3 linked regions of the Schizosaccharomyces pombe genome follow. The main gene of each other region encodes a partner of the protein of the gene in region 3 in a complex. Each region holds a gene or a part of one and is shown on either strand. Other genes may lie near its edges. The genes, in order: rrp41, rrp42 and csl4.

The links.
Region 1: csl4 (region 3) and rrp41 share a complex: the UniProt entries of both Schizosaccharomyces pombe proteins name them as parts of the RNA exosome complex.
Region 2: csl4 (region 3) and rrp42 share a complex: the UniProt entries of both Schizosaccharomyces pombe proteins name them as parts of the RNA exosome complex.

The regions. Positions count from the first base shown.
Region 1 is NC_003424.3:3,161,457-3,164,862, forward strand, and holds rrp41 (exosome 3'-5' phosphorolytic exoribonuclease Rrp41), read left to right. Parts: upstream 1-1,670; 5' UTR 1,671-1,764; coding exon 1,765-1,767; exon of another isoform or gene 1,768-1,815; coding exon 1,816-1,855; exon of another isoform or gene 1,856-1,966; coding exon 1,967-2,652; 3' UTR 2,653-2,898; downstream 2,899-3,406. Other genes in the region: pdc201 (pyruvate decarboxylase), read left to right, coding at 1-486; ppt2 (holo-[acyl-carrier-protein] synthase new8), read right to left, coding at 863-987, 1,067-1,155, 1,214-1,398. UniProt on the Schizosaccharomyces pombe protein: Non-catalytic component of the RNA exosome complex which has 3'->5' exoribonuclease activity and participates in a multitude of cellular RNA processing and degradation events.
Region 2 is NC_003423.3:4,230,125-4,234,608, forward strand, and holds rrp42 (exosome subunit Rrp42), read left to right. Parts: upstream 1-1,816; 5' UTR 1,817-1,828; coding exon 1,829-2,076; exon of another isoform or gene 2,077-2,142; intron 2,143-2,173; coding exon 2,174-2,825; 3' UTR 2,826-3,072; coding exon of another isoform or gene 3,073-3,660; 3' UTR 3,661-3,810; coding exon of another isoform or gene 3,811-3,855; 3' UTR 3,856-3,956; downstream 3,957-4,484. Other genes in the region: kex1 (serine carboxypeptidase), read left to right, coding at 1-339; BAG family molecular chaperone regulator Bag101, read right to left, coding at 3,073-3,660; top3 (DNA topoisomerase III), read right to left, coding at 3,811-3,855, 3,957-4,484. UniProt on the Schizosaccharomyces pombe protein: Non-catalytic component of the RNA exosome complex which has 3'->5' exoribonuclease activity and participates in a multitude of cellular RNA processing and degradation events.
Region 3 is NC_003421.2:2,277,465-2,280,919, forward strand, and holds csl4 (exosome subunit Csl4), read left to right. Parts: upstream 1-1,803; 5' UTR 1,804-1,868; coding exon 1,869-2,414; 3' UTR 2,415-2,822; downstream 2,823-3,455. Other genes in the region: U6 snRNP-associated protein Lsm8, read left to right, coding at 438-462, 517-685, 749-839. UniProt on the Schizosaccharomyces pombe protein: Non-catalytic component of the RNA exosome complex which has 3'->5' exoribonuclease activity and participates in a multitude of cellular RNA processing and degradation events.

The sequences.
Region 1 (3,406 bases), on a different chromosome or scaffold from region 3:
TGCCAAAATCTCTCACAGGTATTATGGGGCTCAATTGGTTGGTCGGTTGGCGCTATGTTTGGTGCTACGTTGGGCATCAAGGATTCCGATGCTCCTCACCGTCGTTCCATATTGATTGTTGGTGACGGTTCCCTTCATTTAACTGTTCAGGAAATTTCTGCTACCATCCGTAACGGTCTCACCCCTATCATATTTGTAATTAACAATAAGGGATATACAATTGAACGTCTCATTCACGGTCTTCACGCTGTTTACAACGACATCAACACTGAATGGGACTATCAAAACCTTCTTAAAGGCTATGGTGCCAAAAATTCTCGCTCCTATAACATTCATTCAGAAAAGGAGCTCCTCGATCTCTTTAAAGATGAGGAATTTGGAAAAGCTGATGTAATTCAGCTCGTTGAAGTTCATATGCCTGTCTTGGATGCTCCTCGTGTTTTGATTGAGCAAGCCAAACTTACCGCTTCTCTTAACAAGCAGTAAAAAATATGGCTATGGCTATATTATTATGATATGTTTTTGATTTTGAAATTTACAATATTTCTCAAATGATGCTTTTGTTAGGTTAGTTAATTTGCAACAGTCGTTTTTTTTTTCTACGTCAATCCATATTTCTTTCATAAAATGAATGAATATATTGAAGTTTATGCAGCGGTTGTTTTTTTGTTGGTAATTAGGATTCATTGAATGATTTATTTTTTTTTTCTTTTTGCATCCCCTTACTCCAAGGTAGACTTGTCCAGATAATTCCCTGTTAGTATAAACTCAATAACATAAAAAAAGGTCATTGAGACGACTGGTAATGAGTAGCAGCAATAGAATCACTAAATAATATAGTACCTTCAATTTGGTCTCTCGTCTATGTCTTTGGCATAGATGGTAGATACAAAGCATTCGCTACAACCAAATCTTCCTCATGGCTTACAGATACCATTACGGGAGAAAGCGGAAATCGGGGATCATGAATAACAACGGAAGGGTAGCCTATATTAATCATAACAAAGTCAGTAACTTTACAAACCTTTTATTTTTAAACATTGAACATGGAAAACAAATGACACACCTGTGGGAGTTCGAACATACTCCATCATAGACATGTAAACTCGAAAATTCGGTTGTAAAGCTTTGAAAACAGCTTCTTTGACGCACCATCTACATAGGAAAATAACCGTTAAAACTATGAAACGATCATAAATATAGACAAGCATACCTAACAGCAAGCCATTTAGCCTGTTCGCTTAAACGAGGCAGCGAGGAATTGCTTTTAATCAGGTTGTACTTTTTAATTTCATTTTCACACAGACATTTTTTTAAAAAGTTCTTTTCCCATTCAGGAGAGCGTTGAATTAATCTTGAGATTCTTGAAATTTTTAAAATGTCAATCCCTAAACCCATTTCGATTTTTGATTCTTTATAACATGAACAGGAAATATTAATGGTAATGCAAGAAGAAAAAAAGAAATCTATGGCTTCAATAATTTTGAACGCTTAATTAATAATATATTGTAAACTAAATTTCCGACACACTAAACGAGATATAAAAATCTTTATCCTTAAATAAAATGAAATAAATTTATCTAATTCATTATCGATTAGTGCCCCCAAAGACATCAAATCCAATTCGTTTCGTAGCGAATGCAGTAGCAGGAGTTTTTACTGTAACAAGTGTACTCTCTACTCACTCCCAGTTACAAAAGTGTTCAAAGGGAACCAAAAATTATATATTTGTAATCCTTTCAATCACGAAAAAAAAAATTTCATATGGTAAGAGATAGAATTTATCTCTAGATAATACGAGTACTAACCATATAGTCACACTTTGAGATTTTATCCCTTGAAGGTCTTCGAAATGGTAAGCCAATTCATTTATGGGAAATGAAAAAGAAACTTAAAATTTACATTCAAACATCTATGATTCTTATAAAATGTATTAATCTTTCTGTGTGCTAATATTTGTTGCAAGATGGTCGACGGTGGGATGAGATGAGAAACTTTCAGTGTCGTATTGGAATCGAGCCTTCGGAGAATGGGTCGGCGTTTATTGAATTGGGTAACACAAAGGTCTTGTGTATAGTCGATGGACCCTCGGAGCCTGTAATAAAGTCCAAAGCTAGAGCTGACAGAACATTTGTGAATGTCGAAATAAACATTGCTTCTTTCAGCACAATAGATGTGAAAAAGAGATTTAAATCGGATAGGAGAATTCAATTGCAATGTTTAGCTTTACAAAATACATTTGAGGAGATAATTCAAACAGAATTATATCCCAGAAGTCAAATTTCTGTCTACTTGCATGTTTTACAAGATGATGGTGCAGTAATGGCATCTTGTATCAACGCTACTACTCTTGCCTTAATAGATGCTGGTATACCAGTTAAAGATTTCGTTTGCTGTAGTACAGCTGGGATTGTTGAGTCTGATATGCTGTTGGATTTAAACTCACTAGAGGAGTCAGCTCTTTCATGGTTGACGGTTGCTGTTTTGGGGAACATAAAAAAGGTCGTATATATGCAGCTGGAAACTAGTATGCATTTGGATTATTTGGAGTCAGTAATGAATATGGCGATCGCTGGATCAGAACATATTTATAACACGATGCAAAGTGCGGTTCGACAAAGCGCTAAACCGGCACTTGCAAGTCTCAGCTAATGACAAAATTTTGGGGAAAAAAACTATTAAAAATAAATGAACGGGAAGATTAATTTTTATAATTATACATTGATAAGTCATCACAATTGCAACTTTACTTAGCTCTACGATATTCTGACAAAACGTATACAGCTTTACTCATTTTATTCCTAGTACAACGTTTTTGTCCTTATCCTTGGTATTTCTGTATAAGTATCAAAAAAATCACCTCGAATATCGTATATAATCTTTTAATGATTGCGTCCCTTTTTTGTCTAAAGGGGCTTATATTACAAAAAATATGGATTGTACTGTAGATATTATGCATCAAAAAAGGCTCATTAATTAGTTGAAGATTTTATGAATAAATTCGGTTATTCAGATCTCACTTATTATAATAAATTGATTATTTTTTGGGGGAGGCTTTCATAAACAACCGGGAATTTTTCATTCAACAGATATTACAGATTGATGTGGATTAAAAAGAAAATATATATATATATATATATTTTTTTAGATTTTTAGATATAAGAAACCTAAGGTTTATTATGAGAATCGTAAAACTGTTTTTCGAGATAAATGTTAAATTTGTTAATGTTAAAATATGAAAAACACAGTATTTTTATTTTATATATTTCTATAATGGTGCAAACTAACAGTAGCTCTTGTAGCTCAGTGGTAGAGCGCCTGTCTCGTAAACAGGAGGTCCAGTGTTCGAGTCACTGCCGGAGCAGTTTTTATATTTTTCGATCACAGATCGGCCTTTCTAATAAGC
Region 2 (4,484 bases), on a different chromosome or scaffold from region 3:
TATCTTCCGGGCTATTCTGATCAACCATCGGGCTCCTATGTTAGTTCCCGGAACCTGACCTTTGCTCGCATAGTTGAAGCTAGTCACATGGTTCCATACGATCATCCTAATGAAATGAAGACCTTGATTACTGCTTTCTTTAATAATGACTTTGCCAGCTTACCATCGGTACCTAAACCCTCTCCGGATTTAGGTAATGGAAACTACAAATGGCTTTATTTGGGTTTGATTCCTGTTGCTTTAACTATCATTATTTTATTCTCAATTTATTTGTGCAGGAGATTTGGATTATTTGGTCTTAGCAAACAACGCTACCAACCTATATCTCCAACTCCTTAGACTGTATATAAATCTTTTCTGTCGGTTTTTACTTTCACATACAGATTTTCTGCTCTTTATTTTAATCATTTAACTTTTAATCTTGCTTTATCGGTGGTAGAATTTATTTTTTTATCTTGGAACGTTCTTCCCTGGTTTTAAAAAATCTGCGATTATCACCATAAATTTTATCTCTCATCTTTAATCAAATTTCACTTATGGATACATTCTTTGAATTTTTATTTTTGCACATAGTCTCTAAATGATCTCAAATCATGAATATGAAATATCATGTACCAAACATTGTCTTATAGCTATTGTTTGTTCTACAGTTTTTGTAGTTTTTTTATAGGACAGATTAGCGTCAAACGCTAATCTCAATAACGTGTTTGCAATAGTACAGTATATCATGGAGAACTACGTCTTGTAACATGTGTCACAAATGTATAAATACTAGTGAGATCTGTCTGTTTATATTGACAATCCGTTACATCCCTTAATAATCGATTATTATAAATAATTTATAATCGAATCACGTTCCTAAATTCAGTTAGAAGCTATAGCAATGGGAGGATTCTATCACATCTACGCATGAGAACAAAGGAGAACTGCAAGCTAATAACAGATCTACTGTAATCATATTTGACAATCCAAAATCGACGCACGTTATCAGGGACACAATTGATGCGTTTGGTAAATTTTACAGACAGCCTTAACTAAATAGGTCTAGGCAACGAGTGAACTAGCTCTATATCAAAGAAGAAATTGGATAGTTTTATTTCGATGACAACGTCTTTAAATCCATGATCCAATAGGCCCAACTTGCTTGTGGATGGATACTTACAGATGGCACGCTATCGAACAGAACACCAGATATGATCTTATTGCTACTCGGCCAAATTGCATCAAAGTGGTAAATAATATTTCAGCGTAGGTTTTGCATCCAAAATTTTGAAGGAATAGGTTATAATGAAGCACCAACTGCCCAAGCATTTTCAACTGATGTAAACTTGCGAAATTTTTAGAGAATGCGCCTTTTCTGCTGTGTCAATAAACAAGTCTTAGCTAATAAAAAAACATGTCGCAGTAGTACTGACAACGCTATAATTTACTACGTTGTGTATCACATTTGGAACATGTTCTATTTAAACATAGCCTCGTAGATGATAGATATTGGGGCAAATCATTTGATATCTGAAACAAATATTTAGTTTATATGTTCAACAATTTAAATAGGAAACTAAATTTCGTTCCTCACTTTAGTCAGAAGCTAATAACAGAAATAGATCATAAATAATACCTACATATACCAATATTTTCAATGACTCATAGCCGTTATACCTATGTATTATAATATAACAGATCACATGTAAAACTTATCGCGGTTTTGCATATCGTTAAACAGATACAAAACTGCGTAGCATACATAACGAACTTTAGAATATACGCAAGAACTCAACGCAATATTGCAAGGAAAATTATTCTTAAACGATATACCATTAGCCAACATATGCAATTGTCATTACCAGAACTATCGTACACACACAAATCAATAACAGAATTTGAGCCTGCAATTCGGAATGATGGACGTTCGATAGACCAGCTTCGTCCGCTTTCTGGACAAGTAGATGTTCTGCCTGGTACAAATGGTTCTGCTAGAGTTAAATGGGCGTCTTCGGTGGAGATAGTCATAGGTGTAAAAGCAGAAGTGGGTGATGCTACTCCCGAAGGTGGTAAATATGTCGCTTCAGTTGAAATGTACGTGAGATATTTGGAGTTCGTATTAACATTGTTTGGCGTAACAAACAATATGAATCAATTGAAAAAAGCTGGTATGCTAACACTTTTTATGTAGTTCTCCATCTGTTTCAATCCAGAATCGTGAAACCGATGAAATTCCTTCATTCCTTACAAGTGCCCTTCAGGATTTATTAAACGCACTTGCTGTCGACTATTTGAAATTTACACCATCTAAAGCTTGGATTATTCACGTAGATGCTGTTGTAATACTTTCTTCGTCTCCTTACGAAAACATTCTTTCAGCTTTAAGTCTTGCTGCTTATTTAGCATTACAGACTACACGTTTACCTAAAATTTCTACCCCCAATGTCACAGACATCACTATTGGATCTACTAAATATGAGCCTTCCGAAGAATACGATGTTGATTCAGAATGGGAAAATGCATTACCTTTGCAAGGGTTAGAATTAATGTCAGTCATAATTTTGGTTAGTAGCATTGATCAAGTGATAATTGTTGATCCTACAATTGAGGAATCAAGTGTCGCTCAAGTGACATATGCGATTGGTGTTCAAGCTAGTGGTGCTATTAGCTATACCAGGGTCGTGGGTACTGGAGGAGGCTACGCATCCACTGGACGTGCAATAACTGTAGAGCGATATATAGAATTGTTAGAGACTGCGTCTACCGTTGGTACTAAGCTTTTGAACGCCAGCAGCGATATTCTATCTTTTAAGGGTTTAGGATTTTTTGATATTCTTCCATAAATGAATTGGGTTGGGTTGGTCTCCATTTCCTATATAATAGCATCTTTCTCTCTATATATATATATAAATGCAATACTTGGGTTACGGAATCAGGATCAATTTTGTTACATGAAGAGGCATGCATCGGTATTTTTGGTTACTATGGTTGGTCATTGTATTTCGTTTAGGTCAAAGTCATATAGCAAGTATAGTAGATGGGAATAATTTAAGGGAAATGAAATGGTAACGTCTATAAAAATAATAAAGCCTATGCGGCCACTTCTTGGCTTGTTTGGTCAACGTGATCCAACATTTTTTGGATCTTAGAAACAAGTTGCTTCCGTTCAAAACGCAATTTCTCGCTGCCCAGTACGTCAACTCCATCCAATTTTAAAAGCTGTTGTAAAAGTAGTTCACTTATCATTAGTTTCTGTTTGTTTTTCTGCTTTGGATCGTTCGACGGTTTATTTACGTAATTGTCGTACATGGGGGAAAGTTCTTTGTCAACATACTGATCGATGGCTTTTATTTCTCCAGAAATACGCGAAAATACAGGATTCTCCGCTTCCGCTTTCGGAGCGGGCTCAACCGTGTCTTTTTCCTTGGAACCTCGTTGTTGCTTATGTGGTCTTATACATAGAATTTTACTATGATTTTTTAAACCCAATTTTGATAACGAGGCTTTTTTGTCTTTTAAACGCTTGCCAGCGTAAAAAAGCTTGACTTTCTTCTCAGAAATCTCAGTCGTTTCAAGTAAATCATCAATCAGTTCACTTAACGTCTCATTTAGATTGACTGCTACCGGAAATCGCTGATTTCCATAGTGTATTGTAACTGTGCTAGTCTTTTCTGACATTGACGATATTAAGTCGACTTGCTTAACGGATCCAACTCAAGATGTTTTATGTTTTTAAGGCTGATGCTATCCAAAAAAATGAAGGTCTTAATGCGACGCTTAAAAACGAAAGGTAATAAGTTAATAAAAGTATACGAGCGGTCTGGTTATCTAGGTTTGCGGTTCATTATGACTCATAAGGTAGACTCTGCAACTCTGCGTTATATTTGTTAGCAACCATAAAATGAAAAGATTAATAAATAAAGTATGGGATTTTGAAAATTGGAAAAGTAGGAAACAATGATAATTTGACTTACATTTTTTAAACAATCGAATCTTTGCTTTGTGAGATGAAAAACATCACGGAATTGGGTAAGGATCATATGAACTAGAACATTCCGATTAAGTTGGCCATTTTCTATGTTTTTAAGTTGAACTTCCATTTCTTTTCGCAAGAAAGGCTTGGTCAAACTCCACTCTAAACCAATTTCATCATAGCCTTTTGCCAAAGCAACTCCTAAAGAGCTTGGTACAAATTCAGTTACACCTTGGCCCCTTTTTTTTCGTTTTATGACATATTCTCTCTCCTGAACTTTTTCGATGTGCTCTGCCATAGTAGCATCTGTCCCGATTCCATTGGCATCCATCAAGGCAATTAACTCCGGTTCAGTGATATAGGAAGGGGAGGACGTTGAACTGTCCATCATGTCGAGAATGTGGGGTTGGAATTCCTCGTGAAGTCTATACTCTGGTAATTGATCCGAACTTTCCCATTTCTCATATGGATAAACCTCTAAATAATTTTTCTCTGTCACTAGCAATCCCTTTTTAGAAAAAAGCTCTTC
Region 3 (3,455 bases):
TTTTAGTTAGAAGAACGGTTGCTTGTAATGATGAGGAAGGATTCGTGAGCCGGATATAGCTGGAATAATGTTCAATACCTTTTCCTTTAATAGATCTATTTTACAAAATAAATTTCGTTGATTAATAAAACAAAAGATCATTTAAAAATCGTGCGCTTCACAAATTACTTTAATTTTCTTTTGACACAAGATTGTGTTCCTTTCCAAACTAAAAATATAATTGGGTTACTTCTTATATTGATAGCAAAGTTAGCTTCAAAATTTTAAGACAAAAAGGTGTTTTCAATTTGATTAGTTTATTAAAATTCTTGATTTTTTTGTTTTTGCTGTATGTTTTATAAAAAGTATCATGTCACTTGAAATACATGCTGTAAGACTACCTACTTTTGTTTAGCACTACCATACTGTAATACAACTAATACTTAAATCACTTTATCATGAGTCTTGCTGATTTTATGGAACGTAAGTGTCAAATTTTCAATAGAGAATGAAGTGACTAATATAGATGTTCGTTAGAAAGGGTTCAAGTCATTACAAACGATGGTCGCGTTGTGCTAGGTTCCCTGAAGGGATTCGATCACACGACCAATCTTATACTTTCAGACTCATTTGAAAGAATTATTAGCATGGATCAAGACATGGAAACAATTCCTTTAGGCGTTTATTTATTACGTGGAGAAAATGTGTAAGTGGACGCAGAGCCTTGTACTGGCGGTACGTAAATCAATAATCTAATAGTTATTTTTAGAGCAATGGTTGGATTAGTGAATGAGGAATTAGATTCAGAAATAGAATGGACCAAAATTCGAGGTGAAGCAATACCTGACGTTGTGCATTAATACAAAAACCGGACGTTAAACTTCAAATGAGAACAAACGTTTAAGGCTACATAGGATTTGGGTTAATGATTTTTTTGTTATATTTCCTCTTTGTGCGGGCGAATCCTTTGCAAATTTTGTTAAGCTTTCCACGATATATTCATACCTTGCAGCATGTCTTTTATCAGGAAGCTATTAGCTCGTAGAAAGAAGTGAAAATTCTTTCTTTATTTTTTTAAAAAAATATGACTGAGGTTGTAGATTAATTCTGATGACAAAGAGTTGACACTTGAACGAAAATACTTAAAAAAATGGTTTAAAATACCGAGTTCGAGGACATCGGTTCTTTCAGAATTTAAAAAATTCTTGGTTTCTTGTTAAATTTGTGGATCACAAACTCATTTTTCTTCTTATTTTGTGGGTTTCATCTTTCTTAAATGATTCTTGGGAACGTTAACATACCTTTGTTTCCTTAATTTGATTTATGCACTTTGATTTTGAAATTTGTGGTCAACTTGTTTAAAGACTTTATATTTATCATTGATTTTTGTTATTATATGGAAAAAAACATCACAATTTATATCATTTACTGTGCATAACATTCTTCATTTTTGCTGTCACGCTTAATGTTTACACTGGAAAATTTCTCTACCTTGAGAAATATTTCAGCATCATGGTCCAATTTACAAAGATCATTTGAGTTAAACAAAAAAAATGATTTATTATATTTGCTGCTCATATTTTTTTTTTAGTGATTTTTTATTTTGGCATCGTTTTGTGAACTTACTTTCCAAGCTTTGGGATTATCAAGAAAAAATTTTTGTTGAAAGAAGAGCAGAAAAACTGTTTGATAATTAAATGCCTTTGCAATTTCATTTTCTCAATTTAGCAAAATAAACTGAAATTTCTGCAGCAGTGACTTTAGGTTACATTGTAACCTACAGTTTACAACGACCTTTGTGCTTACAGCAACTTTTTTTCAATTAATTTTTTACAGCCATACAAAACGGACTTGATTCCTTTATTTTTAGTTTATTAAAGCCGTTAAATATGAATTTGGTTCTCCCTGGACAGGTGGTCGCGAGAGGGGCTCCTAACGGTGAAGGAACGGTAAAGAGAGGAGATTATATTATTTCCACACGAACTGGCATCTTTGATCCAGAGAAAAATTCTGTAACGTACCCAAGAAAAGTTGAAGAGACAGCCGTTTTACCTAATGTCGGATCTATTGTTTTAGCTCGCGTCAGCAGGATCAATGCTCGTCAAGCAACTGTAAACATCTCAGTCGTTGACGATGTCTGCACCAAAGATGAATTTCAAGGGGTAATACATGTGCAGGATATTAGAGCTACTGAGAAAAATAAAGTCAAAGTGCAAAATTCATTCCGACCGGGTGATATTGTCAGAGCACTTGTAATTTCACTTGGAGACGGCTCTTCGTACTTTTTAACAACAGCTCGAAATGATCTTGGTGTGATTTTTGCTCAGTCTAGTGAAACAGGAGAGCAAATGTTTCCGGTGGATTATCAGCATATGCAAACAAAATCAGGATATACGGAAATGCGTAAATGTGCTAAACCTATATTAGACGAATAAAATGAGGGGATAAAATTGCTTTGTTTTGATATAACCTGATAGTTTTTTTTCCCTCTCGGTTCGTTCTTTCCTAACAAAAAAAAAATTCTGAAATTGTTAGAGATTTTATGATACGAATATACGGAACACGGATAAAAATAATATTGAATATAGAAATATTGGAAGTTCATTAGAATGATGATTGAGGTGACTTGCTGTCGAAACCGATATCATTTTCAATTAGAAGTCAAATGTATAGTTTTATAAGATATAGAGAACCTTTGTAATTCAACTGAACGGACAGGAGCTCTGAAGTTTCTTAAAGTTATTTACTTAATGGAACTGAATTGGTCGGTTGTTTATAAACTCTAATTCATTAACAAAAACATGAATAAGGAGTTTCTAGCAATAATATGTGTTATGTTTACAACTTTCTAAGAAGGTTACTGTATTAAGTTATTTTGTGTAATTTAATATCGAGGATTGCACCTTTCATTGGAGGCTGTGATATCCTGAAATAACATTTATGATCACAGATTTAAGGATGAAGTATTTAATGACATGAAAATTAGTATTCGTACACCTCTCAGTAACTTTTCAAAACTACTTTCAGTTTTTACATTAAGGGATTGGATGTACTTTTTATACACAGTTTTATAAAATACTAGGTTGTCTCTAAACATCAAGTATCATCTCAATCTTTACTTTCGGCCATTAGACTGATATATTTTATATCAATTAATTAGTAGACAACTGTTTCCAGATTCTCATATAAGCACGAGAGCTTCTATTCTACCCGTCTTTTCCGTATATAGCTGTCATGACTCATTAAGCTACTCCAGCGTGAGACTATCAAATTTAATCTCTTCATCCCTAATATTTGTTTGTAAATACTTATAATTGCAAAATATTCCATTACCATGACATCAAATAGAGGATTCTAAATCCAATTCGCAGGTACACTGACTTTAATGGATTCTGGGCTAGTTCCATAAAAAGGGATTGAAAGGTTTTATTTTCCATATGATAATAGGTTTCAATAATCAGTTCGACAAAAACATC